Struthio camelus: one gene and its partners. The protein of the gene in region 1 interacts with the protein of each later gene in a pairwise test. Links are inferred from orthologs where the notes say so. Each region holds a gene or a part of one and is shown in the gene's direction. Other genes may lie near its edges. The genes, in order: STAC3, ZCCHC10, MAB21L3 and PPARA.

Region 1 (8,096 bases):
AAGTACTACAGCCTGGACCAGCGGGGGCAGAAGCCAGGAGACCTGTACAACCCAGACACCAGTGCTCAGGTATTGAGAGGACTGGGAAGAAGGCAGCTCATCTTTTAGGAGCAGCCTGGTGGGAGAAAGAGGTCCCCCGCATCCACACTGTCTGGATGGGCTGGGAGAAGGGGGTGGGCTCAACCCATGGTGGTGAGACAGGCATGGGGCCGGTAACAAGCACTGGGGGTGTCTAACCCTCTCCCTCCCCCAGGCCAGCGCCCAGTTGAACAGCCCCATCACGTCCCCCACCCAATCCCCGACGCCGTCTCCTGTCACCAGCCTCAACAGTGTCTGCACAGGGCTGAGCCCCCTCCCGGTCCTCACACAGTTCCCCCGGCCCATGGGCCCGGCACAAGGTAAGGGGAAGGCGTGGGAACAGCACAGGGCTGGGTCTTTCCTGTGGCTCCCTTAGCCCCCTACAAATGTTTGCTTCTATTTTGCAGGTGATGGGCGCTACTCGTTGCTGGGCCAGCCGCTGCAATATAATCTGTCTATCTGTCCCCCGCCCCTGCTCCACAACCAGCCTAACTACAGTGCACACCAGGTAAGGTTGGGCCAGACCCCCACCCCTCTCTTCCTGTCCTGGGAGCAGACCAAGACCCCCAGAGCACCCCTCTCTGGGCAGAGCCCAGGGCTGAGCAGGGTAGTTCAGAAGTGAGCCTGACATCCCACCTTGCGCTCGGGTGCCCCTGGATTGGGTAGCAGGTTGCCTGCCCCATGCTGTTACCAGCCATACAGCAGGGCTGCCATCATAAACAGTTTTCCCTGGAGCCTGACACTGTGCTGAAATTTCACCCTGCTCCCAGCTTTGCCCAGGAGCGATGTCAGCCCCAGGTCCTTTGAGTGTCCTGGAACCATGCCTGTGCCCTGGTCTCATCCAACCTCCCCAAGCCACCATGGCATCATCCCAAAAGTGCCGGGAGTGCAAGGATCATCCAATGTCTCCATTCCCCTTCACAGCTGTGGCCTCATCATGTTTGGTCTTGTCTGCCCCTCCCAGGATGCTCTGTCGGCACTGTGACGCCACAGTGTCCCCTCAGGTGACATGTTACCATTTTTACTCTTTAAGGGACAGACTGGAATGAAACATGGAAATCGGGGCAAGAGACAAGCCCTCAAGTCGGCATCCACTGATCTTGGGACAAGTGATGTAGGCAAGTGATCCTCCTCCAGCAGCTCCCCCATTGCCCTCCGCCAAGTCCCTGCTGCACAGGTGCAGCTGGCACTGGCAGAGACTCCGGTCCCCTCTCTGCTCACACTGACATCCCCCAGGATCCATTGCTGGGGGTGGTTGTGGAGGACCGTTCCTGCCCTCTGCCCCGCTCCCCCGAAATACCCCCGGAGCCCATGCAAGGCCTGGCTGGGGGGGTGGGCGCAGAGCCAGTCCTGGTGAGCTGTACCCCGTGGGAGGGCAGCTGAGGAACCCGGTTAGATGCTGCCTGCACTGACCAAAGCTTTTGAGGAAGAGTGGGGAGATATTTCTGGGGAGTCAGTGATGAGCACCAGGACACCTGGGCCCTATTCCTACCTCTGTGAGGCCTGAAGTCTGGCAGGGTGTGGAGCAGGTGGGGCTGGCAGGCAGAACTCCTGGCAGCTTTTCCTAGTTGTCAGCAGAAAGCGACTGTCCAGGCCCATGAGATCTTATTCCTACCGTTGACTTCCTAAGTGACCCTTCTCTTTCATGCCTCAGTTTCCCAGTGGGGGTAGGTGTTGCACAGTCCCCATATTTGTGGGGCTTTGGGATCTTCCATGGGCAGCTGCCGGGCTGAAATCCCCAGTGGATTGTTTCTCTCCAAGGAGGAAGGACTCCCCCTGTTCCTCTCCTCAGGGCAGGAGTCTCCTCTTGCTCGTGTCAGGGAGGGGAGGAGAGGCACAGGACTGGCTATTCCCCGCAGCAAATGCAGGACCCGCTAATTGGGCATGAGCCCGACAGGCTGGAAGAGAGACAGTCTTCCTTGGCTCTCTGGAGGCTTCAGAGTTGTTGTCTCCCATGTCACCTCTGTGTCACCACCACCAACGGCAGCTGTTTGCAGGGGGCCCTTTAAGAGTTGCTTCCCGGCGAGCTGGCCCCCTCCCTGCCACAGGGAAGCAGCTGGCATGTTTGTTACATGCCGTGTTAATATTAGCAAAGAATCCGTTTAGCCAGGCCTCTGCTAAGCCCCAAAGCTGGAGTGAAGCCCCAAAGAGCTGGAGCCAGGAGGCAGCAGGGGTGTTTGGGTACCACAGAGCAGAGGCACAGAGGTTGACGTGACACTGGCCTGGGCGCAGGAAGGGATCCTCCTCGTGACAAAGCACACAGGGAAAGGTCACATTCAGCGTGCAACTGCCATCCCTGGGGTAGCCTGCCTGGGGGCAGAGGGCAGCAGTGCTGGGTTAGGTCCCCTCCTGGTACCCAGGATTAGGATAAGAAAGCAGGAGAGAGCACCCGGGAAAGCCCTAACTGGAAAGCCAAGCCCAATCAAAGGGATCAAGGAGGGCTTGGTGCTGCTAGAGCCTTGGGCAAACAGAAAATATCTGTCTCCTCTTGAAGCGGGGCACATGGGGACCAGGGTGGGAGTATCAGAAATGATTGGGACAGGCACTGTAGGGACCAGGAAGATGGGGGCAGTTTGAAGGGGAAGAAGTGACTAATTAGAAGAAATATCCCTGATGTGGGACCAGCTTAGCAAAGCTCTGCTTTCATGGGCCAAGTAGAGATGACTGCTCCCATCCCAGAGCTGGTGAGGAAACCGGACATCAGCTCCCACCATGCTGTCACCACCCGAGGTCCTGTGGCCAACACATGCTATCTTTCCACTGCAGTTCTTGGCCGAGTGCTGGAGGTGACGGACCTGCCCGAGGGCATCACGCGGACAGAGGCTGACAAGCTCTTTACCCAGCTCGCCATGGCTGGTGCCAAAATCCAGTGGCTCAAAGAGACTCAGGGGCGGCGTGGAGATGGGGGCGGTGGGGACAACAACGGGACTCCAGAGAACGGCAGGCACACTGACCTTGCTGCCTTATACACCATTGTGGCCGTGTTCCCCAGCCCGCTGGCCGCCCAGAACGCCTCCCTCCGCCTCAACAACTCCCTCAGCCGCTTCAAGCTGCGTGTGGCCAAAAAGAACTACGACTTGCGGGTGCTGGAGCGTGCCAGCTCGCAGTAGGGCTCATGTATGGGCACAGAGCACACTGGACTGCGGGCGCTTCCCTCTGCCTTCTCTCTTCCTTTCTGCCCTCCCTTCCTCTCACCCTCCTTCCTGGATATATTTATATGGACATAATTAAGAGACAAGAAATTGATTTTTTTTTTTAATTTTTGGAGTGATGCCCATGCCCGCCCACCCTACCCTGTGTATATTGTTTTGTTAAGCACTGTGTTGAACCGCACATACAGGTGTTGATTGGTATGTTCACTGCACATTTTATTTAATCTGATTATTATTTGGGGTTTTTTTTTTGTTTTTGTTTTATTTGAGGGGGGGGTGTTTTTAAATATAAAAAGAAAACTTGTCCGTCACTTTAATGCTGCTTTCCCGTTCTCTGCTGGCGCCAGCGCTCGGTGCAGGCTGGCAGCAGGGCCTGTCCTGTCCCCTTCCTCAGGGTGAGATGGCAGTCAGGGCATACACAGGAGTGCGTCCCGGCACGGGGCCTGCTCCACCCCAGCATACGCAGAGGGTGCGTCCTCGTTGCTCTGCGGAGGCTGGGAGAGGAGCACGGAGCATTTTGAGCTGGGGCTGGTCACCCTTCAGATGTTCATAGCCTCTTCTTCCCAGCTGCCGGCCCCGGGCTGCCTGCGATGGCAAGGAGGGTATGCCCCCAGCTACGTTCCCTGCCAGGGTGAACACATTTCTCCTGGGTGAAGGGGAGCTGCCCTTGAGCTGCTAGGTGTCCTCCTACCGCAGGGGTACAGGAGTTGGGCTGGCACCAGCCTCGCCATGGCGTTGCATGCGGCAGCCCTTGGAGCTTCCTGCGGTGTCCAGAGCCAACCTTGGAGCATGGGTGCAGGGGGAGAGGTAAGAGCTGCTTGGAGGGTGTGGGGGGCCTTGGTGCAAACCCTGCCCCTCTGCCACCCACAGCCAGGCAGGGACATAGCTCCAGGGGCTCTGGCACTGGGGGCCCACCCAGCTCCTGGGATCCAGCCCCTGCTGCGGGGCAGCACAGTAGGGGTCGGGTCCCCAGCTCGCTCCTCAGTGGCTGCTTCCTGTGGGGCAGCGGTGAGCGTTGAGCTGGTGAGCGTTGAGCGCGGGACCCTTGGCGGCACCTCTTCCTTCCCGCCTGCAGTGGCCTCCAATGCGAGGGCAAACAGGACAGCAAGGCTGGAGCGCTCAGCATGCCCCCGCGCTGCTGCTGCCCCATGCCAGGGGTGGGAGGGTCGCTGTGACGCCCAGCAACCCACTAACGCAAATAGCCAGCAGCTCCTCTCCACCCCGCTCCCCTCCCGGCTCGCGCACGGGCTCCAATTTCTCGGTGTCAGCCTCCGCCAGCGCTCAGCTGTCGGTTCCCCTCTGGCCTGTCACTCGGGTGCTCCGCAGCGCTGGGCAGCTGCCCCCTCCCTGCACACCCGGCCCTGGGGCTGGGGGCTCTGTGGCCCAAGGGGCCTCGGCGCCAGCCCCCCGGCAGCAAGCCCGCCACCAGCTTTGCGCGGTGTTTCATCACGGGACGCAAGCTCTGAACGTGGTGTAAGTGCAAAGCGCGGCTCCGCGTGTGGCTCCCCTTACCCAGCAGCCACTGACCCTGCTGGGCCCCTGCGCCACTGCTGGACCCCGGACCCCCCAGACCTCCCTGCCGAGCCTGTGGCCCCAGGAGTCCCCAGCCCCCCCCCCCCGCTGTCTCCTGCATGCTTGTCCTGTCGCTTTCCAGGGAGGACGGGGGTCTTGTGTTAACGGTAGCACCAAAAATAGTGACGCCTGGGTGGAAGGGCTCTGAGGATGGTCGACAGACAAAGGTGGCGTCAGGTGGGTTTTGGGGGTGCAGGAGCAGATCTGCTCCCTTGGTAGCACTGGGTTTCCATGGAAGAAAAGGCAGGGCTGTGCCCTGGTGCCAGACAGCGCCATGGGTACTCTTGTTCTGGCCAGCCAAGTGTGGCACCATTTGCCGTTTAATCTCGAGACGGAGGTGTCTGGGCAGAGACGGGCACATGCAGGTAGCTCAGGGGCTGCTGGCAGCCACATCCGCGAAGCAGCAGGGACGGTGAGGAGCAGCGCTGTGGTGCTGGGCCGGGAGCAGAGCCCACCACGTGCACAGCCCCTGCAGCAGGGCTGGGCAGCCTCCTGAGGGGCCAAGCCCGGCAGCCCCCCGGCAGTGGTCTGGGCCGGTGCTGGGGCAGGGCAGCAGGGAGCTGGGTGCAAGTAGGGCAGAGGGAGGCACTGGCCCGGGAACTGCTTTCCATCCAGCCAGGTCTGATCCCCGGGGGCTGCCGAGGCCACAGGCCGCTGCTGCCCTGGCTGAGGCTCTGCAGTGGGGGCAGCCCCAGTCGAGACGATGTCTTTGTCTTCCCCTTGTAGCATGACAGAGAAGGAGGTGCCAGAGCCACCAGCTTCATCTGCCTCAGGTGGGAAACCCAAGAGCCGGGTAAGTGGATGCCTGCAGATCAGCTTGGGTGAGAGGGGGAATCCACCTTCCCCACATGGTCTCTGCCTCAGGCCCAGGACCCTCTGTGGGGCCAGGGGTGCCCTGGTGGTATCTGCTTGAGTGGAGCACTATATGGGCATTGCCCAGCCTAGCTTTGCCCCAAGGTGCCTACATCCATGTGGTGCCCAGGACTTGCAACCTGCCCCTTGTGGGGGGACCCCACTAGGCAGAGAGAGGGTCCCTGTGCCCACCACACTGCACCCAGGACATCTGGGTTCTCCCCCCACCTGGTGAGGGAGGTTGTAGGTCAGAGCAAAGGGGCTGGGAGCTGGGCACCGGCTCCTTCCTGTTTTCCTCGCCCCCTGCGCCTGCAGTGCGCCCTGCAGCCTCTCCTGCTCCAGCAGCTGCAGAAGCTGAAGCAACTTTTCCGGCGAAAGCCCAAGGAGGAGACGGCACCGGAGCCACAGCCGAATGGGGAGCTGGTCAGCCCCTCCGGGAGGCCCATCTACTACATCTATGAGGACGAGGAGGAGGAAGAGGAGGAGGAGCCCGAGCCTCCTCCCGAGCCCCAGAAACTTGTCAATGACAAACCCCACAAGTTCAAGGATCATTACTTCAAAAAGCCCAAGTTCTGTGACGTTTGTGCCCGCATGATTGTCCGTGAGTCGCGGGGGCACTGGGCTTGGGGCCACAGGCTGGGGGCCAGGGCTGGGCCAGGGCTCCAGCCCTGCCACGCCTGCAGCCCTGGGGTCACATCATCTCTCTCCCCCCCCTCCACCCACCAGTCAACAACAAATTTGGCCTGAGGTGCAAGAACTGCAAAACCAATATTCACCACCACTGCCAGTCCTACGTGGAGATGCAACGCTGCTTTGGCAAAATCGTGAGTGCTCATGCCGGTGCGGTCCCGGCCCTGTGGGAAGGACCCGGGGGCAGCACCACCAGCTGGGCATCTGCCCTCCAGGTCCTTCGCGCCCACCCATTGCCCCCTTAGCTCGCCAGTGGCAGGCTGTGCTCTGACCCCCTCCTCCTCCTCCTTGCAGCCACCAGGCTTTCGCCGAGCATACAGCTCGCCCCTGTATAGCGACCAGCAGTATGCCTGCGTCAAGGAGCTGCTCTGTAAGTACTGACTTCATGCCTGGGGCGGGCGGTGGGGGGAATCTCCCCACACCCCCTCACTGAGCCCCTCTCACTCCATCTGTGCCCCAGCAGCAGCCAACAGGAGCGACCCAGTGTTTGAGACCCTCCGGACGGGCGTCATCATGGCCAACAAAGAGCGCAAGAAAGGGCAAGACGACAAGAAAAACGTGAGTGCAGGGTGGGCCTGTTACTCTGAGCCGGCCTGGGCGCCTGCCCACCCCTCAGCCCCTGACTGCTCTCTGCCTTGCAGCCGCTGGCAGCTATGATGGATGAGGAACCCGAGGCCATGAAGGCAGCTGGGGGCAAAAGCGAGGGCGGTGAGTGCTGCGAGCAGGCAGGGCTGGGGCTGCAGGGCTGTGCTCCCCCCGAGGGTGCGGGACGGGGAGCCCACTGGGGTGGGCTTCACCCCGAAGAGGGGCCCTAAGTCCAGGTCTCGCCCCAGGGCTCTCTGCAGGCACGGGAGGTCCCCAAGGGCAGGCTGGTGCTGCGGTGGGGAAGAGCAGCACAAGAGAGGTGACCCTTTTTCTCCTGTTTTCAGGCACCTCCGAAGGGGACAAGAAGGCGGAGAAGAGCACAGCAGATGACAAGGTAGCCCTCTTCCTCACCCCGTACCCAACGGTGCCCGGGCTACCCCCGGCCCCCCAGCCTCTGAGCCCCTCTCTCCTGCCCCCCAGAACAAGAAGCCACAGCAGGGGATGCGCAGCGGCTATCTGCAGTCTCACTACTTCGTGGCGCTTTATCGCTTCAAAGCCCTGGAGAAAGACGACCTGGATTTCCCGTGAGTTCCCAGCCAGGACGGGGGCGTGCGCTGGGGAGGGGGGTAAGTCTTCACCTCAGCAAGGCCCTCGGGCCCAGAGGGTGCTGTGAACGAACAAGGGCAGAAATCAGCAGTGCTGGCTGCGGTTTGGGGTTTGTGGCTTTTCTGCCCCGATTAGCCGTGCAGAGACAACGAGCCCTGGCTCTGGCCGAGCCACCTTCCTCCCCAGCTTCCAGCCTTTGTGCACAAACCGCATTTCCGAGGCTACTGCTGTTTTACGTGGCACTGCCGATTTCTTGCACCCCAAGCTGAGGCCAAGCTGCTCACGCAAGGGACCCGTCCTGCCCATGAGCCCAGGGGCTGTGCGCACCCCCCAGGGACCCCCCCCCGCCCCCAGCACAGGGCTCTCAGAGCTGAAGCTGTGGGAAGAGTAATTTTCCTTGCCAGTCACAGGGTCTACATCTGAGAGTGCTCTTCCCTCCCTTTGCAGGCCAGGAGAGAAGATCACGGTGGTGGATGACTCCAACGAGGAGTGGTGGCGGGTGAGGCACACTGGGGAGAGGTGACCTGGGGACGCAAGCTGTGCGCTCGGGAGGGCACAGCC
Region 2 (7,474 bases), on another chromosome or scaffold:
TGTGTCTACATTGTGACTATTTAGAAAACCTTAGCCAAATTCAAAAGAATTGGCTTTTGAACTAAAACTAGTAACATGGAGCTTCGCGTGAGCTTGTTTTCTCTGCAAAGAAGCAAAGCAAACTAGTCAACACTGACGTACTACCTTAACGTATTACCTTGTGTAAACTCAAAGTTAGGGAAGGTACAACAGAGTAGAGGCAATATATTGCAGACAGGGTGTGATTCAAGTCTATTTACTGTATTCCTTATCACTGAGGTTTTTTTCTGCCCTACAGTCTTGCCTGAATAAGGACCTTCTGTGTTTCTCTCTCCCTCTCTCTGCCTTTTATTTTTTACTCATGCTGAAAATGCTAACAGTTCTATAAACAGGAATATGGTAATCAGTGTGAATGTCTTTTTAATATCTATGTCCGCTTTGGATTGTGCTTTAATTTCTAATTTTTTCAGGAAGGAATATGTGATATGACTGGCTTCTCTTTGGATATTTTCTTAAAGAGAGCTTGGGAGGAGAATACAGAATTTTAAAACGTCAAGTAACATTGTCTCTAGTGCTCCTGGTTTGTCATTATTTTCGTTCAGCATTAGCACTATTAACTACTTGACTGTTAGTCATTTTGGAAGATTCATCACAGTTTTGGGTAACCGGGATTAGAAGACAGCAGCCTTGGCAATGGAGGTTTAACCATTTATTCATGACATAAGCTCTTCCTAAGCCGTGGAAAGGGAGGTATGTTGGTTCTGACTACATTTCTCCTGTTCGGTGTACAGTCCCTGAACAACTAACGTGACACCTTTTCTTCATAAGCAGTACGTTTGCACAGAAAAGTGCTGGGGTGAAACCGTAGCGTAAACAGTCTCTCTGATGGGCTGACACACAGCGGCTCAAAGTCTGTGTCACTGAAGCTTCAATGCTTTCCCCAGATTTGTCTCCTGTGTCGTCTGTGTACCTCCTCCCTCTGCTGTGTAGAGCGGGGCACATTTTGGAAAGTAATTTCCTTGCCCAGCATATTTAGAAACAGGTTAATGATACTGCAACTTTAAATAGCAACCTAATGTGCAAAGGCAGGATTTATGGGCACAGTCAGTTCATTGAGTAGCAGCAGCTCCCCTGAACCGTCCCCAGCCCTTGCGAGTGAGCCCAGGGCTGTGCAGTGACTCTGCACATTCAGTCTGGAGGGCGCTTGAAGTCACCTTCTCTGGTATGTTAATCAGTGCCCTGGTGAATTACCTCTGAACGGAAAGAGAGGCTGTGAGATCCTGTTTTGGGTTCAAAAAAGTCTGCAGTAACCTGCAGACTTTGTAGTCACAAGAATACTTTCACATTGCCTCAGGTAGAAATATTTTAAGTGGATTGTTTTAATAAAAGTTATATCTTTGAAGTCTCTGTATAAGGAAAAGCCTATCTACTCTATGGAGAATTTTTTGCTTCTGAAGTCAGAAACCTTGTTATACTGGCAAATTTAGGGAAATTTAGCTCTGCTGCATTAACACACAGGTACTAGGGACAATCTAAATGGTATTAAGTATAACATAGATGTTGTTATCAGTTTATAATTTACTCTAAGATTTTAAGTGATACTCAGGTAAAAAAAGGATCAACAGACAGGAATTTATTATAAAGCATAGATTATTATAAATACCTACTCTCAGCTATTTCGCTTTTCTGAGAACATGTCTTAGAACAGTCCTAAAACAGGAAATTCTTCTGTCTTACTTTCTCCAATAAAAGTGAGATGCCAGACATCAAGATTCAAATACTGCAGCCAAACTCTATGCTGCGGAGAACAATCATTTATAACATGCCAGGTATCACACATCAGAATTTAGCTAAGCTGTCAGATATGACTAATCACAGGTTATCACAGAGAATCATCAGAAACAGGACGATGATTAGATACCAGACAAAGTGCCAGATATAGAAGAAAATAGGATGCACAGAGTAACAGCCACTAACCTAAGACATTACAATTACAGTGTTTGGGGACAGGAACTACCATAATACTCAACAATTAGTCACACAGTAATTAGTTCTGGTGAGTTGAAGTCATTTACATCTAACAGAATCCCTCAGTAAAGATACTTACCTTTCCAGTGAGATATTTAATTGATGCCATTGAACTCAGCAGATGTTGTTGTTACCATCGCTGTGATTACCAGTATTACGTGTGACACGCAGCAGGAAGTTCTGGCTCTAGTATCTCCTGGCTGTGTCCTGATCTTGCACCATCAGAAGTGTAGGACCTCTCTGCCTCATGCCTGCTAATTCAAATAAGACCTGGGATACTCATCATGTTAAAGCATCAGATTTATCAGAAAAGTAGTAGCTTATAAATGTTGTGTTACCTGAAAGAATGATGCAGAAGCATATTGATTGTTGGTGGAACACTGTACAGGAGCGAAAACATAGCACAATCTTATTGCTATATTAAATATGACAGATAAATATATTTTTTCTTATATGTCTGTGACTTACTTTAAAATATAAACTTATATAGGCATGTGTTCTCACTTCTGTTACATTCCTATTTTCCCTCCCCACAAATTCTGTTGTGCAATGTTCCCACCCTTCTACCTTGACTTGAGATAAGCGTAAGCTTTTCTGAGCAAGGGCTGTCTTTTATTGTATTTCTACAGTTCCTAACAGAGTATGGTCCTGATCCAACTGGTACAGTTGGATTCTAATTAACTTAAGAAAATATAATGCATGTTTTTGTATTATATATTAAATGAATGCCACCGACTCACAGGAAGCACACTTTAAAAAGCTACATAGCTGATAATAAACCACTATAAATTGGTAGCAGTCCATAAATTTCAGCAAATGTAAAAGCCCAGTGGAACAGCTGTTTAACTAATGTCAGTCATCCATATGATATGATAGTGCTGAATGAATACTGAAAACGGCTAGATATGATGTGCTTCCAGGATACTAATGTTAGGAGAAATCCCAGCTCAGCATTAAAAAATCTGTTTCCTTGAGGATTTTTGTAATGCAGATCCATATATTATTTTAACACTGATCTCATGAGACAACGATAAGTTTCGATACAGCAATTAAGAGGCAAATATATTAAACCAAATTCCCTGCTTCCCTGAATTTAGGATAAGGGCTGCTCTACCTGGGCCAGCTGGCAAAGACTCCCACGGGGCTGCCTGCCAGCTCTGCACAGTCAGAAAGCTCAGCCACTGCTCTTCTTTTCTTCTGTCCCTTGACCTCTCCTCCTATGCCAGAGGCTGTAAGGAGGTGACGTAGGAGCCAAAAATAACAGCTGCTGTTGGCACAGCTGGGGGACTTCACCCTCTTGGGCTGAGTGGGGTGGAGGAAAGACATTTGCCTTATGATTCCTAGATATATCTGAACTGTATTTACCGTCAAACACAGAACACATTGACTCATGCAGGGTCAACATGACTTATCAGCATCTCCAGTCTCTGAAAAGTGATTCGTATTTAATGTATTATTGAGCCATGGTTATGCATCCACGTGTGTAGCAGAATTAATCTTTTCAGTTATTCTGAGACGTTCTTTTTCTATCAGTGCAGGGTATAGAAACCTGAGCTGCTACAAATGAATGTGCTGGTAAACGCTTGCAACGTTTTAGCAGTACTAATTGGTTAAACTGCTCCTTTCTGAGATCTAGCTCTTGCGAACGTTTCTTGGGCTCCTTCATGGTATAACCAGAGAGCTATTACGCTTTCAAACTTTTCACGTACCTAAAGGTTCTTGGGAACTCATAGCAGGCTACCTTTAGGTGTGCTGGACTGCTTATGTGAAGGAAGAAAAGTAAAATTGCCCAACTCTTGCAACAACAGACGGGCCAGCTCAGTGGCTCAAGAAATTTTTCAGCGGCACCATGTCACCGGCTCTGTGGTTAGCGTTAGGTGACGGGATGGCATCAGGGGCTCTGCGGTGGTGCTGGGTGACGGGATGGGGTCGCAGGCTCTACAGGCTCTGTGTGTTGGTGCTGGGTGACGGGACGGCGCCAGGGGCTCTGTGTTGGTGCTGGGTGACAGGATGGGGTCGCAGGCTCTGCAGCTGGTGCCCTCCGGTCATAGTGAGGGATGGGTTGTCTGCTGCTGGGTTTAGATATTTCAAATACACCCATCCTAAGAAAAAGAAAAGCTATTAACTGGGAGGCAGGTTCCTGGGGGCGATGAAGGGTGGAAGATGGCGGCGAGGCCCCGAGGCGGCGGTTGGCCGGGGCCGCCGGGGCCGGCACTTCCGGCATCCCGCGGGCACCATGACAACGCGGGAGGAGACGAGACGAGCGGAGCGGCGGTCCTCGCGGTGCGTCCTCTCTGGCCGCGGGATGCCTCGCTCTCCATGGCAGCGACGCCGTCCTACCCAATAGGGAGGGAGGAGGAGGAGGAGGCAGTGGCCCGGCATGCAGCGCGGCAGCCCGCCTCACTTCCCGCCCGGGCCGCTAAGATGGCGACTCCCATGCACCGACTCATCGCTCGGAGACAGGCGTGAGTGCGGCGGGCGGCCGAGAGGCGCCCCGAGGCGGGGGAGCGGCCGAGGGGCGGCTGCGGAGCCGGGGCGGGGGCTCTGGCCGTGGGTTCCCCGAGCGGGGGCCTCCCCTGCCCTCCCCCCGGCTGTGGGGCCCCCCGGCTCTCTTTTGGGGCAGTTTCGTGCAGAGCAGACGCCCTTCACGGGTGCCCCGCTGTTGGCAGCGTGGTGCTGCGGGTGGGTAAGGGAAACGCTCCCAAGTGAGGCTTGGCTCATCCTGTTAACCGGGCTGAGACTCTCTTCGTTTCGGAGCTGACAGGGTTAAGACCGTATATGGTGTTTTGGGCTCCCTGAACCTGAAGGGTCCCGTGTTTTTTGTAAGAGTTGCGGAATTAGTGATTTCTGGCTCCATCTTGCGCAAGGTGGAGGCTTTAGAGGGACTTGAGATAGCAAACATAAGCTTATGTTTGCTTTCTTGTTTAAAAACAAAACAAAAAACCAAAAATTGTGTGTGTCCTCTGCAGCAGAGTGCAGGAGGTTTTCTCCCTCTGTTGTAGGGAGTTATGGTGATTTAAAGAATTAATAAAATCATTACAGTGAAATGATCAAAAATGAAAGCAGGATTCCTGAAAAGGAAAGGCAATCTCCCCATTGACTAAAACTTTCCCTTTCGTTGCTGTTAACGCCAGTTAGCAACTATTTGGGAAAAGGCTGCCTTATGGGTTTAGCATGTCGTCCCTTTCAGTGAAGCGTATAAGACCTTGTGATGCAGGTAGGCACAGGTCTTATCGTGTCACTCTTGTCAGTCAGGTGTGGGGGGGACCAAATAATTTCTGGCTTCACATTATAATATGTTTAGTAAATTACTAAAAAAAAAACCCGGGGTGGGGAGGGGAGAAAGCAAGCACCCTTTACTCAGTTATGCTTATTGCTTTTGGGTGATTCTCTAAATATCGGGGAGATCTGATTGCCAAATGCTGAAATGAGGAAAAGCCAATGTTTTTTGATTACTGACATTAAGTAAAGCAGATGCCTGTGTTCTACTGCCGTGTTTTGAGTTTTTGGGTTTTTAGGGAGGGGGTTTGTTCTTAGGGATTTTTTTGGCTGATCATAGCATTAGAAACAATATGGATGGTTTTTGCTGCCTCTTTACTTTTTCATTAGCTAGTATAATTCGTTTCTTACTTTCCAATGGAAAATATACTTGGAATGTCAAAGTACTTGCAGAATACTTGTTTTTTTTAAGTTGCTATTTTATATTGGTCATAGAATGATTTCTTAGTGCGTGTTATTTCTCCATGTGCTTGATGAGAATTGCTGAGTTGTACGTCTGCCAAGACTTGCTTCTAGGTTGTGATAATTGATCTGTGTGAAAAGTTTGTTTTAGTCTTGAGCTTTTAATTACTGTTAAAACTTGTCAGTGTTGACACTGTCTTTACAAATCTGTAGTTCTTGAGCTATTTTGATCTGTTCTTCCTAATTATTAATAATTAATAAGTAATTATTACTTCCTGTAATTGCTTATTATATTGCTTTTAGGATTTTATCTTAACATTTTAGTTTGCATAGAATTGTCTACATCGGTCAGGTGAATAGCATTAAAGCCTTGGAAATGCTGAATTATATTATTGTTGCTTTGACTGCCCATTCTGTTCCTATGGTCTGGGCTGGCCTGAGATACAAAGCAACAAAACGTAAATGTTTTTCTATCTTGATTAAGAGGATGAGAGAGTTCTCGTTCTGCTCATGTGTAATGACTGCATCAGAGTCAGAAGTCCAAGGCAAGAATTACACCGGACGCTTTCCTAGTAAAGAAATAAGTTACCGGTTTTGTCCCAGTTTTCTTTGCAGTGGTTTAATACTAGCAAAAATCAAAATGTAAATGTAGTTTGTGTGTTTAAAAAAGTTTTTGTTGCAGTAGTTCACTTGTATTTGTCTTCTCAGTGTAAACTTTCCTACATGCTAAAGCTTGCTGCGTTCTTGTGTGAATGAATAATAGGTATATAAAAACAGTAACATGTTTTGAGCATACCTGACGAAGTGAAACATCGTGTTTCTGTCCTTAGTGTTAGGGTACAGCCTTAAACCTACCTGAATGTTATTTGGAAAGGAAAAGAAAAAGGGATGATTTTTGTGTGTGTGTGTGTGTATGAAACTTAAATCAATTTCCCTGCAGCACATGTGGTATACTTCATTTATTTTAAGAGCAGGCCCACAACTAAACATTTTTTAATTTTATGAAGCCTTTCAAAGCACCTGTTACATTATTTGTACTTTAACCTCTTCTTTCAAGGGTGCTGGAGTGTGAGGTGGTTAATGTTTGGGCATCCTTAGATGCACCCGGAGGAGCGCTGCTCATCAGCAGCAGTGTTTTAAGTATAGTTTGTAACCATTCAGGAATATTTTGCTTATGTTTGTCTAAGTACCACACTTACAGTCTGTTGCTTATCCCTTTGCTATCTAGAACCTCACTTGTTCTACAGTTTTATTTGTTGATTGAAATGAGCTAAAGTTCTGGTCTTTAAAAACCTTTTCTGTGTTTGTTTTTTGTTTAACATAAACAAGTGGACTTATGGTCTAAATGAGGTACTATTTTGTTTAAGGCAAAGTGCATCTTGCACAGTGTGACGGTTATTCAGATACTCTTTTGCAGGCATTCAGAAGAGTTTTGTGTATTGTTCAAGATGTCTTTTAGGACACAGGAAGAAGATGGAACTTAAACCATTCACAAGACCTTGTGTGTGGGTTTTGTTTTTGTTTTTTCCCCTCAGGACTAAAAGTGTTGTTTCCTGTTGAAGTCAGAGTTAATTGTGCAGAGTTGATTGCAAGTTTAATTAGTTCTTTAGTCCTGATTTACATCAATGTTTCTAAGGCTAGACTATGAAGCCAAATAAACTTGGCATTGAAAGCAGGATGGATGTTCATAACAGGACTAATCAAGATACAACACAGCTGTTACAAGGAGCTAGAGTTGAAGGAGACTGCAATTCATACGTTATCTTGAAGAGCAGCACTCCACCCC
Region 3 (7,593 bases), on another chromosome or scaffold:
CATCTTCTCCTGTCTATCCTATCCTCACTGTCCAGTTAGCTCAGGCAGGGTAAAATTGTTCTAAATTATCACCATCTGTTGTTACTCGCTCCCCTTCACCCTTCAGACAAGTTTTGTGCCATACGGCCATCAAGCTGCCCTCTTGCACCTCCCTGCTGCCCCATACTTAAGCACCTCCATCTCTTCTCTTTTAGCAGTTTCAGAGCCTTAAACCTGCAGCCAATTAACAGCTTGTATCTCCCCAGTAACACTACTTCCTGCCCCTTCAGGCTAAGCACCCATAAATCCAGGTGAAGCTCTGAAGAGACTTCACTGTTAATGATGCTGGAGATGATAACAAAAAAGAAGTCATAGAAAGCTGTGCCTCTGGGTGCATGTGAACCTAGAGGAGTCTTCCTGTGTAATCTCCTGCTTGGCCTGTTACTCTGCTCTGCTGAGTATTAACTAAAATGTACCATGCTCTGCTTACCATCTGCCATGCCTCCCTTCTCTTGCTGTTATCCCTTTGGGGTAGCAGCCCTTGGCATCCCACAAGAAAGAAACACCTGACCCCGTACTGCCCAAAGCAATTGCATGAACAGTGTTGTTTTTTCTTTCCCTCCTTTGAGCTTAAACATGGGGTTTTAAACATGCCCTACTATGTAAGTGTTTAGAAATCTGCATCAACTTCAGCCTCTTGGTTGGTGCTAGCCAAGAATAAGGGGAATTATCTGTAGTAATTCTCTAGTATTGAACGCTGCTGAGACTTCACATGTCCCTTGTCAATCAATTAAAATATCTCTTTGTGTTTTTGTTAGGTGTTTCACATTCCTCAAAACGCAATTCAGTATCTGATTAGGGGTCTGATTGGGACTACTGATTAGCTGTATGTTTGATATCTATTGGCTGTGTGTGTGAGATGGCACAAGCCAAGAAGTTTAGTCTGACAGCTTTTACAGTAGATCGGCCCATACAAGGTAACTGAAATTTTAAAGCACCAAGTAACTTAATTGATAGTAATATTAATATTTATCTCAGTGGCTCTGGGTCTATTGCACTCCAGAGCCACAAGGACCCAGAACCTTGTGAAGACTCTTACCTCTCCCATATATGCTCTTGATGAATGTGTAGTTAAGAGAAAAAGCAGTGATAGAGAAAAATATCATTTGCAGATGCTTGGAAACAGTCTGGTGAAATATTTGGTTTAAATCTTGCTGATGCACCAAACTTGCCCTGTTTCAATAAACTTCCAGAGGACTGCAAATGGGTTTAGAATTTAAAATGTCGATTTTCCTGCTCAGCATGTCAGGCGAGTGACCTTGGCAGCTGATGCTGCCAAGACTCCTAGGTTCCTGGCCCCTGTGCCATCCACTGCGCTGACCATTATGGACTTGGAAAATTCTAGGCTTCTTGAGTAGCTCACCACACTGGGTGCCAAAGACCTTAGCAATAAGTGCTAGGAAGCACTGGTATATGTTTTATGTTTGCTACTCTGTGGCCTGCTTCATAACGGCAGCTGCACAACTGACTGGATTCTTGTGAATTTGCCAGTTGAGGCTGGTCAGTGGTGGGCAACAGCATCATAATCTCAGTTAGTTTTCAGAATTTCCTGCATCCTCTGCTAGCGATCCTGGAGCGAATACTTTCTCTGAAAGTGCCAAATTGCTGCCTGAAAAGATTCAGGTTGTAAATTATTTTGATGGGAATTTCAAAACTCTTCCCAAGTTGAGATAACTCCTTTTCCAGCAAAAGCTAGTTGCTTTTTTTCTGACATGTCTGTTCTGGCCAGTGAATGGAGAAAAGATGCCAGTCTTGATAAACCACTGGACCTGATCCAATGCAGTCAATGGTTTGCTTAGTTTGGAAAGGTTATAAACCTTTTATTTACTTGATGTGAACTGCAGGCCCAAGGCTAGTGTGAGACTGTGTGGCAATGAGAACAAGCAGTGCAGGCATTTTTGAGCCCGCCAAGTATCGATCAGTGAGGTTCAGGAATGAGTAGAGCATTTCAATTTGGCATCCACGCGTGATTCTGATCTGTCACAGTGAATTAGCAGCACTTCCCCTCTAGTCCATCCCAGGCTTTTGTCATTGAAACATCCTCTTTGCCATATCTATTTGTTAAAAGACAAAGTGAAAAAACAAACTCACAGAACTTGTGCCCCAGAAAGCCCTGATTATGTTATGCTAGTGTCCTCTGAATGGTGACTCTGAACAATACCGAAGCGTCACTGCTAAAAACCATTAGAGCATAAATGTTATAGAGGATCCAAGCTACACTTACTTATTTTGTACAGTCACTTAATCCACTAATGGGGAGAAATGGGGCAGCAGTTTAAGAAAGCAAGAGGACTGTCAGGGATTATTAGATCTACTGGACTGATTTGTTTTGGTAGTCTCTCATGCGCCAAGTACAGCTTCAGCCAGTGCCTTAATAGCCTTAGACTTAATGCTTCTGGTAATTAGAGCAAAAAGTGATGAGGCATCATTAGCAACTGCAAATTAAGAGTTGTATTTCATCTGGAAGGCAGCATCTTCAACTGGGCTTATTTGTTACCCTGCAGATCCTCTGTGAGCCACAAGTGGTACATTGGACTGGTTCATTTGTATGATTTAGGAGAGGCTTTTTAATACGTGCTTACTGTTCCATATGAGTGGTTTTTCCAGATAGCTGTCAAACAGAAAATGCCACAGTATTGGACTTCCCCGTACAGCTGATACTTCTGCTATTATTTACATGATGTTGATGGCTTTTTGTTGTGCAGTTCAGAGTTCAGATGATATTTGATTGTAGGTTTGAGGCATATTTGTCATATTTATGAAACTAAACAGTGAAAAGAGGAAAATCAGACAAGCATGGAAAGCATCAGTAATTTGCAGTTTCAGGAGATACAAGAGTGAATCTAACACTGTTCAAGGTATGTATTCACAGAATATTTTTCTGTGGATTTCCCAGATCCACAATCATATTCAGTTCTGGATATTGCCCAAGACAAGAATGAAGATGAAATATCACAGATTCAGTGAAGTTGGAGGTAATAGGAAATCCTTAAACCCGCTTTGAAGAATACCAGTGAGCAACTGAGAAAACTAAATAAATCCTCAGACTTCACTAGGTACAAAGGAAAGTAGTCACAAATTAAACTCCATTAGAGGTACTATGAGCTGGGCACTGACGCACTGAAATAAAACAAAGGAGGGATGTAATATAGTTGACTAATTTTCCTACGTAGTTTCCTACCGTTTTCTTGCATAAGCACCGTCAGGAGAGAAGCTCCCTGAGGAGGACCTGGAGCATGGGTTTGTTCTTGCAGTTTTAGTGGTTAATGGAAAAAAATCCTGGATATCCTGAGCCTTGAGTGGGGCGAACTGAAAAAGCCATGATTGCTGACTGAAGATAGATGAAGGTTTCAGTGCAGTGACCCTGGAAATGGTTCTGCAAATGATACTGGAGAAGCTTGGCTTCTTCATGCTTTGGGTCTATGCCCTTTAATCTCTGCAGAAGTTTCTCTCTCTGCACTGTCCTTTCTCCCTTTCTCCTGATACAGTTTTTTTCCTACCTTAATATTCCCTTCCCACGTGGCGGTCTTCCTCTTCTTTTCTCCTGTGTTTTGTGCTATGTGGTGCTCATGTAACAGATGAAGGCCCTTGTGATGTGTTTATTCCTCAGTGAGGTCAAGATGGGGTGCTGTCTCCCGTAACACCAAGCTGCTTTTCCCTTTGCAGTAGCAGCTTTTGCCATTCTAATTTGTACTGTATTTTGCTGTTGGTGTAAGGGCCTTTGCTGGATGTAGTATTTTCTGTCTGTCAAACAGTAATCTTCTGATCCTAGGAGTAGCATGATAAAATCCACAGGGACTCAGTGCAGGTTATTCAGCTGCCATCTGCTACAATCTTCTGCAGCCAGTTCTTGTAACAGACTGTCTGTCTGTCTGTCTGTCTGTCTTTCTTTCTATTTATTTATTTATTTAGAGCTGAACAAATTATGAAGTAGCAGTTTCTTATGGCTGGAGCAAGGAGTGCTCAGAGTTGAGAAGAACCTGCTATTGACACTATCTTTGATACTGTCTTTCATGTTTCTTTTTTCTCAGCCTTCTCCCCCTTCTCTTCTTTTGCAATGATCTTAAGGGAACGTTATTTACTCTCATGAGATAGCAGGAGCAGGGAGGGACTGTGGGACTGTTGCTCAGGTCCTTGGATTTGAACATAAATTTGGACTTGGATTTAAATATGCTTGGACATTAAAAAAAACGAAACAAACCTTGCCCAAGACCTAATGCCATCCTCCTTCACTATGGGAAGGGGAGCTGGGACCATCCAGACCCTCCTGGAGATATGTTTCCCAATGGAAAAGGATGATAAAGATCAAGTATCTTACTGTGTACAAGCAAAATGACCAGAGCTGCTTCTTCATGTGTCTGCCAGCACCTGAGGCTTTGGACAGCTGTCAGAAGAAGAGACCATATAGGTGCAAGAAACTGAGAATCTTAACCTCTCCCCGCTTCCTAACACTCATCTGAGGTTCTGGGTTTTAAAGTAGTGTATGGTACCAGAAACATTAAGGAACTTGACTTCTGTATGTAAATCTAGCAGCCTGAGGGGGCGCATGGGAATTAATGTAATAAGGGCATACTTTTAACTGAGCTTGACCACTTAAAAGGCTCCTTCTCCTCCCTTGCACACTCTATTTGGGGTTAATCCCATGCAACCTGGCTTTACAAATCCTTCCTAATCTACTGTTCCATGCACTGTCTCTCAGATCCTGCCACTAGCCTGGCTTCCCCAGCAAAGGTCACGTACGCTGCTAAATGTTCAGGTGAAAGATAAGGTGGAAGGTAAGTCGTGAAGTGAACAAGGATGGGGTAGGGACCCTGAAAATTGGAGGCCTAATCTTTTTCAGTGTCCAACTCCCGTGGAAGGTGGTTGGAAGGAAATCCCTACAAGTCTTTGTGAACCTGTCACCAAATCTCTCAGGAAAAAGACAATGGAAGATGCCCTGGGAGACACGGAGAAAGGTTTGATTTGTAGATTCTGGGGGATCGGATGTCCTGCAGGTACTGGTGCACCATTGATGTAGGTAGCATTTCACTATTAATAAGGAACAACAGTCATAAAGAATGACCAGCAGCAAAGAGCCTGCTCTGAGATAGCACCCAGTGCCTACCCAAGTGCTGTTTTTTTCAGCTGCTGTAGAGCTAATGAATCAGTCAAGGGATATCAGTGAGTTCAACTTCCAGGGGGAAATAATGATTTTACTAAAATATGGCATGTGCCTATTTACTAAAATATGGCATGTCCCTAGCAAGGGCTGCTTTGCAGTATAGAATATCGTCTCTATACTCTGTCACTCCTTTCCATGTGCTGATGTATCCTTTCTTCTAAAATCCACCAACCCTCGTTGGATCAATGAGGCCTGATCAATTGTTTTTCCCTCTGAATGATGCATGTGGGGTTGTTAGCTGAGCTGCTGGCAGCTAACTAGCGACAGTTTTCTGTCTGTTTACTGTAAAGGGAGCAAAGCAAACTACAGGAGGGGACAGGCTGCAAGATATTTACTGTCAATACAGTTGGAGAGAGAGAGGAGATATAAGGAGACAGGAGCAGAGACTGCAGACTGCAACCCAAATAAGTGATCTGAGTGTAAAAATACCCATGCGGTTTCAAAAGGAAAGTGGGTGGATTGAAGTCAACAAGGGGTAGCTGAGTATTTAACAAATGGTTTAGTAAAAGGCTAGAGAGAGCAGGGAAGTACTTGTGGCACACAGAATAATAATGCTGCGCACGAGCGTAGTGACTCTGAAACACGCTTCTAGATCTGCCCAGAGACAAAACAGTAACTGGGCTATTTTTGTAAGTTCCTGTAAGTCCCAGCATTTAAAAGTAGTGATAATAAGAATAATAATGATTGAGCTTAACAAATAATATTTGGACCTAGTTTTCCTAGGCAGCTGGAAGTCACCACTATAACTCCAACCAGAAGAAAATAGGCATATTTCCTTGCTTTTCTCTCCTCTTCTTCATTCACAGAGGAATTAAGTGACGTGAGCTTCACAGGGCAAGAAGGCTCTGAGCAGCAAGCTCTGAATGTCCCTCTACTTCCAGAGCCAGGCGAATGAGTGAGGAGTGAATTCACACTTTAGAGAACAGCGAAGACAATCTTGCCATGAAACCATTCACAGATGAAGAAGTAGAAATTTACATCCAAAGCAAGGTAAGGCTTTATCTGTCCAGATTTTATCTCCCACGCTAGGTGTTGATTCTGAAGGGTGCTAATCTCAAGAGTTAGTTGCTTGCCTGCTGTTTTCCTTTATGAGATGAGACTGGGTGAAATTTCATGAGAATTGTATTTCTAGTGAGATTTCTAGGTTTCCACTGCAGAATGTTGCCAGGGATCTCAGCTGATAATCTAACTTCTTAAGGTGGTTGTCCTGTTTTTCTTCACATCTTGAGTTTTTGCTCCCCATCTTGAAATCTAGATGTGAAACTAGCTATAATTGCAAAGTCTTAATCTAAGGTATGGTCCTTACTCCCTTCCCTGTCCAATGGTCTTAGCTTGATACAGACGAGACCAAAACTGCAACAACAGGGATTGCCTCTAAGAAAGATGCAGGTAGGAACGCGGCTGAGACGGACACAGAATTCACCCACCAGTCTATCACCTCAGCTAAGGATACTTCTTTATATACCAGCACTAAAATAGCTTAAGTCTCATTAGTGGAGGCAAGTGGGAACCACATTTTCTATTTTATGAAGTGTTCCAGCAATCTAATGTTTTTTCCACTATGAAATTAGGTAAAATAAAAATCATCAGTGAAACTATTCTTTTTACTAAAAGTTATTCAGAATGAGTTGTAATATTTTATTTTGTTAAAGCTGATATAGTTCATCACAGTGTTTAGCTGGTTTCTGTTTGATAGTCTGTTTTCCCCTACAAAATGCAAGACAGTGAAGTGAAAAACCATTTCAAAATGAAAAACTATAAAGCTTTATTTTCTGAAAAGGATAACATATTCCAGTATCATGAAGGCGCTCGGGGCAAAGCTTTAGTTTGTCTGTGGAAATGTTTTGGTTACAAGTAGGTGTATTTCTGTAAAAACCTTCATTTTCAGCCGTGTATTTTCCCGTGGAAGATCATGCCATCAGAACCTAGTCAGCCAGCTACAAGAGCGAACACTTATCTGAAGATTTATAAAGCAGGGCTACAAAGGAGGGATCAGAGGGAAGCCATGCACAGGAGGATGTTCATATGACTGCCATAAGTACAGGGAACAGAGACAGAGTATAGTTAAGTGAGGCTCACTGGTGCCAATATTTTAGGTTCTACCAAAAGCACACCACCGTGAGAGTATCTTTTCCAGTAGCCCTCCAGCTCTGATGGCTCCTTAGTTTCTGCCAGCTCCCGAGTCTCCTGTACAAGTGAGACTGCCCAACCTTCAGGCAGCCCTGCTCTGCCTGTAAAATTCTACCTGTTTTTCAAAATTAGGTCAACCACCAGGTGCAACAGATCTCTCTGGTACCAAAGATTTGTGCCTTCAACAACTCATTTAGCAGTGGAAAACTCAAGTGCATACTGAGTGGAGACAAATGGGTAAATAAGAACAAACCCAAATGTTC
Region 4 (7,522 bases), on another chromosome or scaffold:
CTTTTCTAAAATATTATAGTTCTATTCCATTAGGTAGAACTGATTTCTTTAACAGTAGTTACTGACAACAAAACCAAACATAGATCTACTAAATCTTACTGTATCTGACCACACAGTATCAAGTACAAAAAGAAATAGATAGAAAAGAAATCTCATACTGGAGGAAGAAACCATTCAGATGAGAAGAGAGGGAGGAATTGAACAGTACAGTTCGATCATAAGAGTAATTACTTACTCCGTAAACTATTTTCACATTTGAAAGATTCCCCTACAGTTCCTTGATGTCCTGCAGAAGGTTCAAGTGTGGGCTCGCCTTCAGAAAGAGTGTGGAGGGGGTACTGTTTTCTCCATCTCCTTTAATTTACTCTCAATGTGTACTTCCTCGATCAGTGTAAGAAAGGTGCTTGTTCACCAGTAGCAGTTTTTCCTTAGAAGAATACTTTTTAATTGAAATGGAGAAGTGAAAAAGATGTAATGATGGGTGGAGAGCCTGATCACATTAAGAAAAATTTAATCTAACAGTTCTCATCATTGCTGCCAATGTACCAGCATAAAAAGCATATAAGTTATCAGAGAAATTCTACACATTGTGGGCTATGAAGGGTTAATTGATAAGTTTAAAGCACCATCATCTTATATACAACTGTTCTTACTCTTCTTGCCACAGGAAGAGGGGGATTGACATCTGGAATGTTTGATCTTGATACTCTGACAGATAATGAGTTATTTCTCTAGTAAGTAGAGAGTAATGAGTAATGCCATTTCCAGACAGGATATTTCTGATGGATAAAAATGATCTGAATGATTGAATCCATATCTTACACTGATGAAATGGCATGGTAAACATCTCTTATGAAAGTGAAATACAAGTAACGACTTTAATCACTTATTTTGATGGAAAATGAAATCTTGACATAGATTTAAAAAAAATCTGATATTGAGATAATTTTGTGGCAAAATAGACTTGTGTAAATGTATAACCTGAATCCTGGTTCTATCCATAACCTGTCATGTCGAAATGAGGCAGATGAGCCTGATCTAATTTATCTTAAAATGTTTTCATTTATCACTCTTAGTCTTAGAACTTTGGTCTAATCCAACATAGAGACATGTACCTAAAACCAAACCTTAAAGCCAGCTTGCTCCAGAACAACAAAATGAAGCAGTGCAGGAGTTTCCCGAAGAAAACTGCTGCTACACAAGGACTGAACTGTAGGCATAAAGGAGGGTCAGGGTACATAGATCTCACCGGTCTCCTCTGCTTCACCAGTCTGGGTGTTTTTAAGGGGGTTGATTTGGAGAGGGAGAGCTATTTTTTTAACAGTAATAACAAAAACAACAATAAAAAATACTGTGTTTGCAAGTAACTCACATATTAACTGAAATAAATCAAATATAATCTACTTCCGTTCATTATTACCTGGAGCCTTTGAATTCAAATTATTTTGACCAATCACAAATGTGCAGGATTCAGCATGCACAAAAAGTCTTAAATAACGCTCTGGTGTTTTCTATATGCTTCCGTTAATGACGTCTATTCATAAAACTTGTTCTGTTGTGACAGTCTGGCCACTTAAATTCTTTGAAGAATAAGAATGTGATAAAATTAAAGTAATTTTACTTCAGTAAATAAATGTCAGTTCATTAAAACTTCAGCAGTCAAAAAAAGAGAAACAGGACCAAATATATGGCATTTCAGCTTATAAAATGCTGGGTACTATGTCTGGTCTCTACAGTTGCTGCTGAAGTATATACTTATATGGGAAGGATCTATTTTACTTAAAATAATGACTTTGTTAGGAAGGTCCTTCATGATGACACAGCAAAAATGAGGCACATTGTCTGTTAAAATTCCTATCATCAGATCAGCAGGAGAAACCACAGCAAATATTTGAACGCAGGGTCAGCCCACTTCCTGCATTTTGCCAGTAGTTGGAGGAGGTGGTGAAAGCATAGCGAATTTTTGCTGTTATAGTCCATTTTCCAAACTTATGAATGAGTTTGTGCCTTGTCCTGAATTGAACTGTTAATCTACTTCTACAGTCATAAATGTTACAATATTCAGTATATTTTGATTAAAACTTGCAAAAAAAAAACCCCACCCCATTTTATTACAGAAATGCTACTTGTCACTGTTAAGATCTATGACAAAACCAGCTGGATACTGGAAAGATGGAAAATCAGCTACTGCATAAGTCTGTCTGCCTGTTTCACAACTGTCAATCTATTAAGCAATATTAATATGATTAGTGCATATTAACAGAATAGAACACTAATTAAAGCTTATTTCATCTAAAAGCCTAGTAAGCAACCTAATTTCAGATTTCTAAAAGTTGGCACATTTAAATAGCTAATGGATGTTTATGATACTTAGTGTGTTATTAAGATCTGAACTGTGATATGAATTTATGCAATCAAATCAATAATCTACATTTTAAAAGGGCTTTATGTACAAAAGGATTCAGTATGGTCTCTTGACTAAAGCTGTTAAATGTGAGATAAGTTTTCCATCTTTATTATAGGTATTTTCTGCAACACCAGCCATATTTATGGACAAAATTTATGTAACTTGTTTAAGAGAAAACAGTTCCAAAATAGGACTTAACAAACTTCCTCTCCAGGTCTTGGATAACACAGTCACCTTAGCTGATTCTGCTGGAGACATAGGTTGTTAAGAGTCTGGTTATCAGGTAGTGTGGGATGGGTAATCTATAGCTTATAAACAGGAAACAGCCCACAACTCATTCTAAATCACAAAAAATTATTTTTGTATTTTTACTGCATTTTGGGTTAATTTAGTGTTACTGTGTGACCCTGGGCGAGGTATATGAAATGTCTATTTGAGCCTCAAAAAGAGAGCTGATCTCTTTAGCTAGGAAAAAGCCCACAGTGTGGAGGTGTTCTCACTAGAAATGACTAAGTCCCGACCGTGGTAGATCTCTCAAATTTGTAACTTCCAATGGCAAAAGCCCACAACCTTGCTAAGTGTGTGTGTGTGGGGGGGGGGGGGGGTCCCCCCGCCCGGGAATTTCACTATAGTGTTCGTACAATGCCATCTTTGGTAACAACAGTAGAAGTATGTATGCAAAATGACCACCTAAATCTCGTCCAAAAGTTCAATACGGAAATCAAAGGAAAGTGTTTGTGCTCTCCACAGCTTCCTTGACAAAGCAAGGGGGAAACATCTTTAAGGGCTGATTACACATGCAAATTAAAACATTATATATATGTTTTTTAACTGTATTCTTTCTGTTTGTGTATATTTTCAGGAAAAATAAAATAAAAACAAGAAAAGAAATAAAACCGAACGGAATGAAAAGCACACCTGCTCGGATAACATCTTTTATGGAAATAGGCCCTGATCCTTGTTGCTGGCTGAGCTGTATTACACATCGTCTGTGGGGTGGGATATGTAGGTGTAAACTTGGACGTTAACTTTTTAAAGCAGCTGAATGCTTGTGGCATTGGGTGTTGGCCTGCCTTGGGGTAGAAATTGGAGCAGCACTACTAATCAGTAGAAGTCAGCTTGTTACCAGAGCCAATATAGCATTTTGAAATATTTTGGAAAGAAACTTGAATTACTGTAAATAAGGGCTTTCGTTAGCTTCTATTTTCTGCTGTTGATACTATGTTTTATTGATCTATACTGAGATATGCTTTCTGGATGTTTTTCATCTTCTGTCATTACTGATGATTCTACATTGAACGCTCTAATGTGCAGATCTGTGTGTTTGAGCTCAAGGTTGAGAAATTTATGGAATTAAATATGATGCTTGCAGTAGTACAGACTGAGTTTCCAGGACAGAGTTTCCTTTTCTTCCTTTCTGGTCCTATGTGTCTCCCTTCTGAATGGCCACAAACTATGATTCTGTGAAAGGGTAAAAATAAGCAAAACCTATGTGTGTAGGCTTGCTAGGCATAGAAGAGGTTCATATCAGAAACATCTGAAATAGGTCATGTTTTCTCGTATTGGCATCCACGTAAAGACTGATCTAGTCAACAATAAGGTGCCTTTTCTTTCAAATGGAATGATAAAATAAAAGTAAAAATGCAATTAAAAAATTGATGATGGCCAGGAGGATAATCAAGAAATGTGATATCCATGAAGCAGTCAAAGAGTAGAAATTTCTGTTAAAAAGAAAGAAAAAAAAGGATTATCTTTTAAAAACAATGTATTTATACTTTTGGGTGCCTTTTGAAGACCTTCAGTCCCTGAGAGACTGAAGAAATCAGTCATGTACAGACAATTTTTCTTCAGGATTTTGTGTTTTGTGGAGGATTTTGTGTTTTGTGGGTGTGTGTGTTGTTTTCTAGGGGTTTTGTGTGTGTGTGTGTGTGTGTGTTTGTTTTTTGGTAGCTGTTCCCTGTAATAACTTTCTAAACTAAATAATACCCCTTAAAAAAAAAAAAAACAGCTGCAGGTAGCCAGCAGCCTCCATCCGGCGCGTGGGTCAGGAGGATGCCGCTGGAGTGGGCCGCCCTGTCAGCCTGTAACGCCGAGCCGCCCGGGCCGCTGCTGCTGTGCCCCAGGCAGCACACCCAACCCGGTGGTACCCCGTTTCCTGACGGTGCTCCGCATCAAAGGCGAGCCCCAGCTTTTCCAGTGCAAGCGGCCCGGACTCGGGACGGAGCTGGGTCGGCGGCTCGACCTCCCCACCAACAGCGGACCCTCCCGCGCCACAGGTTTTTAAAAAAAAAAAAACACATAGGTGCCCGGGCAATGTCAGCGCCCTGCCGGCCCGCGGCGGGCCGAGCCGTGCCGGGGCGGTGAGCCCTGGGGAGCCCCCGTCCCCCGCGAGCGCCCGCTGCGCGGCGGGGACCAACGGCCGCCGGGGACCAACGGCCGCCGGGGCCAGCGCGCGGCGTGGCGGCGGAGGGGTGGGGGGAGGAGGGAGGGGACCGGCGGGCAGGCGCTGGGCGCTCGCCTCACGCGTGACCGGGGATGAGGCGCCGGCCCCGGCCCCGGCCCCGCTACCTCTGCGTGTGACCGGGCAGCGCTGCGTGCGCCGCTCCTTCACGTGAGCGCCGCGACCTGGCCGCCGCGCTCCGCAAATAGCTCGGCGGGCGGATAAGAGGCAGGCAGAGCCAGCCCAGACTTTGTTCCCGGGCAGATGCCTTCGCCCGCTCAGCCAGCGCCGGTTTGTCTCTTGACTCTCTCGCGTTTTCTTTGCCCTTGACCGAAGCTTGCGGGCGGGCCGGGCTCGGCTTCCCCCCTCCTCCCCCCGCCCCGCGCTCCGGGGGGCGGTGAGCGTCGCCGCCGGGGCCCTGAGGGGCGGCGCGGGCGGCCGTTACCGCGGGCGACCGCGGTGCGCTGGCGGCGAGGGCGGCACGGGACCGTACCCGCCGGGCTGCCCCGGGCGCGTTTTCCCGTTGGGCTTTTCCCTCTTATTTCTTCGTTTTTTGGTTTCAGCTCATCGCCGGGTGAGTCTCCCGCGGGGTGGGGGGTGGGGGGTCACGGCGGCGGGGGGTGGGGTGCGGGGGGCGCGCGGAGGCCTCCGCCCTCCTCCCCCCTCCACAGGTTTCTCCCCGCGGAGCCAATAGCAGGCGGCCATTGTGGGAGGTGTGTGCCGCGACCTCACTTCCGGTACCTGTCACCCTGCCGCCCCGCGTCAGTCAGACTCGGGATTGGGGTACTTCTGCCCCCCCCTCCCTGCCCCGTTGGGGTGTGCGCGCTGGGCGGCCGCCGGCGGCGAGGGGGTGCGCCCGCGCTGGCCGCGGCGGTTGGCGCGGGCGAGCCGAGCCGAGCCGAGCCCTGCGCGCCTCCCGCGGCGGATTGCGGCCGGGGACGCGGCGGCGCCGACCCGACCCGGCCTGGCCCTGCCCTGCCCCGCTCCGCTCATGGGCCGCCGGCGTCTGCGGGCAGCAGCGCCGAGCCGCCTGCCCGCCGGCCGGCAGTAATGCACGGTATTAGCGTCGGCAGCGCAGAGCCTGCCTGCGTCCCTCGCTTGGGCTTCGGCGGGGAGGGGGCACGGGCAGTGGGAGCGGGGTCTCTGTCTCGCTAAAACGGCGGCAGTTGAGCTAACGACTTGGTCTTCCTTCCCTCCCCCCCCCCTTTTTTTTTTTTGGTCGTTGTGTTTTGAAACGTTCTGCAAACCCGTGGTGGCGGCGGTGGCAAAGGCGAGGAGAGAGAGTTAGCTGGTTTGGGGAGATGCTTTAGCCATTACTGTTGCTGCGCTCGGGCTTCACGCCTCCGCTTTGCCTGTGTGGGGAGCCGCGGTGGGAGGCGCCCCGAGGTCACAGGGGTTAAAGAACCAGCAGGAACCAGCCCTGGCAGAGGTTAGTGTTTATGGCTAAAGAGCAATCTGGGAAACTTTATGGGGAGACTTCAGGGTGTTGGGGGAAGGGGAAGAGAGAGAGGGAGAGAAAGAGAAGTCCTGTCTTTTAAAAAGTGCTTTTTTGCTGTTGCAGTATCTCCTGAACACAGCACATATAAATTGTCCTTACCTAGTTTGAGAAAGCAACATATGCGCCGGATGGAAGATAAGGTGTTTGGAGGTTATCCTTCAGACAGGTTGTGCTTTTACCATGCAATTGGCCGGATTTATCCTTGGACGGAGGAGTGGGTCAGTGGCAGCTCCCCCTAGATTTGTTTTTGTGGTTTGACAAGAAAAACGTGTTCTTGATTGTCCCTATAGGCCTGTCCACTTGTTTTCTGAAAGAGTGGAAAAGATAGCATTCACATAGAAATGGAAAGAAGTGTTAAAAGGTCTTGTTTTTAAGTTGGAAATGGCCTTGTCTATTCATATTAAGATTAGCCCCATCTCACTGGTGTGAGTAGCTATTTCTAAGCTCTCAAATGGAAGATGTGTGAGGACAGGATTATTTGAAATAATGATGTCTGACACTTCTGTGGCATTGGATGTCATAGAAGTACTGCACACATGAAGAAGTTGCATAAGTTTTGCTGGGAAGCAAAGGTTTCATCAACCTGTTCTTGTATTGTAGAACACGAACAAACTTTCTTATAAGTATCTAACACTAAATATCGGGCTGAAACTTGCTTTTTTTTTCCAGGCAGCAAAGTCAATCCTTTTCAAATTTTGAACCGCTATGTTAATACTGAGGATACCTGCTCTCATACTGAAACTGACAGCAGTGGTGGTTCCTGTGATGTGGTCACAAGTCCACTCAGAGCTAAACCAGTATCATAATTTTGTTATTTCCCGTGAGCTATCAAACAGCCTTTGGCTGCTAGTTACTTTTAATGGCAACTTTTTGGATTTAAGTAGCACAATGTATTTCGGAAGGATGAGTGTGTGAACTGACCTTATCAGACGTTTGTAGAACTGTGTAGACAGCAGGCTCTTTTTCTTTTTCCGTGTATGGAAGGAGCACTTGACATCGTCCAAAAAAAAGTTCTTATCAATCTCCTGATGCTTTATATTGAATCTCATCCTCTATAATCAAGTGGCCTAGGGAGTTTTGATTACCTATTATGATCTTGTACGTCATGAAAACTTGTATTTTTCTCCCTTGCATTTCAGTATTTCTTTGCTGTCATCTTTTTTTCTGTTTTTATCCC

What was found.
Region 2: the proteins of STAC3 (region 1) and ZCCHC10 interact in binary tests that used the Homo sapiens proteins (3 or more experiments, as listed by UniProt). The two-hybrid records come from large-scale screens. The link is inferred for Struthio camelus from reciprocal best matches to the Homo sapiens genes STAC3 and ZCCHC10.
Region 3: the proteins of STAC3 (region 1) and MAB21L3 interact in binary tests that used the Homo sapiens proteins (3 or more experiments, as listed by UniProt). The two-hybrid records come from large-scale screens. The link is inferred for Struthio camelus from reciprocal best matches to the Homo sapiens genes STAC3 and MAB21L3.
Region 4: the proteins of STAC3 (region 1) and PPARA interact in a two-hybrid assay, tested with the Homo sapiens proteins (2 studies listed by BioGRID). The two-hybrid records come from large-scale screens. The link is inferred for Struthio camelus from reciprocal best matches to the Homo sapiens genes STAC3 and PPARA.

Annotation. Positions count from the first base shown.
Region 1 is NC_090969.1:147,274-155,369, forward strand, and holds the start of STAC3 (SH3 and cysteine-rich domain-containing protein 3), read left to right. Parts: upstream 1-4,623; 5' UTR 4,624-4,703; intron 4,704-5,528; 5' UTR 5,529-5,529; coding exon 5,530-5,595; intron 5,596-5,999; coding exon 6,000-6,255; intron 6,256-6,380; coding exon 6,381-6,478; intron 6,479-6,638; coding exon 6,639-6,714; intron 6,715-6,807; coding exon 6,808-6,902; intron 6,903-6,985; coding exon 6,986-7,052; intron 7,053-7,273; coding exon 7,274-7,323; intron 7,324-7,409; coding exon 7,410-7,513; intron 7,514-7,982; coding exon 7,983-8,034; intron 8,035-8,096. Other genes in the region: R3HDM2 (R3H domain-containing protein 2), read left to right, coding at 1-69, 254-398, 486-586, 1,112-1,196, 2,845-3,188. UniProt on the Homo sapiens protein: Required for normal excitation-contraction coupling in skeletal muscle and for normal muscle contraction in response to membrane depolarization. Required for normal Ca(2+) release from the sarcplasmic reticulum, which ultimately leads to muscle contraction.
Region 2 is NC_090954.1:2,126,216-2,133,689, forward strand, and holds the start of ZCCHC10 (zinc finger CCHC domain-containing protein 10), read left to right. Parts: upstream 1-4,259; 5' UTR 4,260-4,326; coding exon 4,327-4,472; intron 4,473-7,474.
Region 3 is NC_090942.1:93,554,234-93,561,826, reverse strand, and holds the start of MAB21L3 (protein mab-21-like 3), read left to right. Parts: upstream 1-4,121; 5' UTR 4,122-6,142; coding exon 6,143-6,190; intron 6,191-7,593.
Region 4 is NC_090942.1:80,656,213-80,663,734, forward strand, and holds the start of PPARA (peroxisome proliferator-activated receptor alpha), read left to right. Parts: upstream 1-4,433; 5' UTR 4,434-4,683; intron 4,684-4,880; exon of another isoform or gene 4,881-5,138; intron 5,139-5,231; exon of another isoform or gene 5,232-5,630; intron 5,631-5,714; exon of another isoform or gene 5,715-5,904; intron 5,905-6,117; exon of another isoform or gene 6,118-6,276; intron 6,277-7,522. UniProt on the Homo sapiens protein: Ligand-activated transcription factor. Key regulator of lipid metabolism. Activated by the endogenous ligand 1-palmitoyl-2-oleoyl-sn-glycerol-3-phosphocholine (16:0/18:1-GPC). Activated by oleylethanolamide, a naturally occurring lipid that regulates satiety.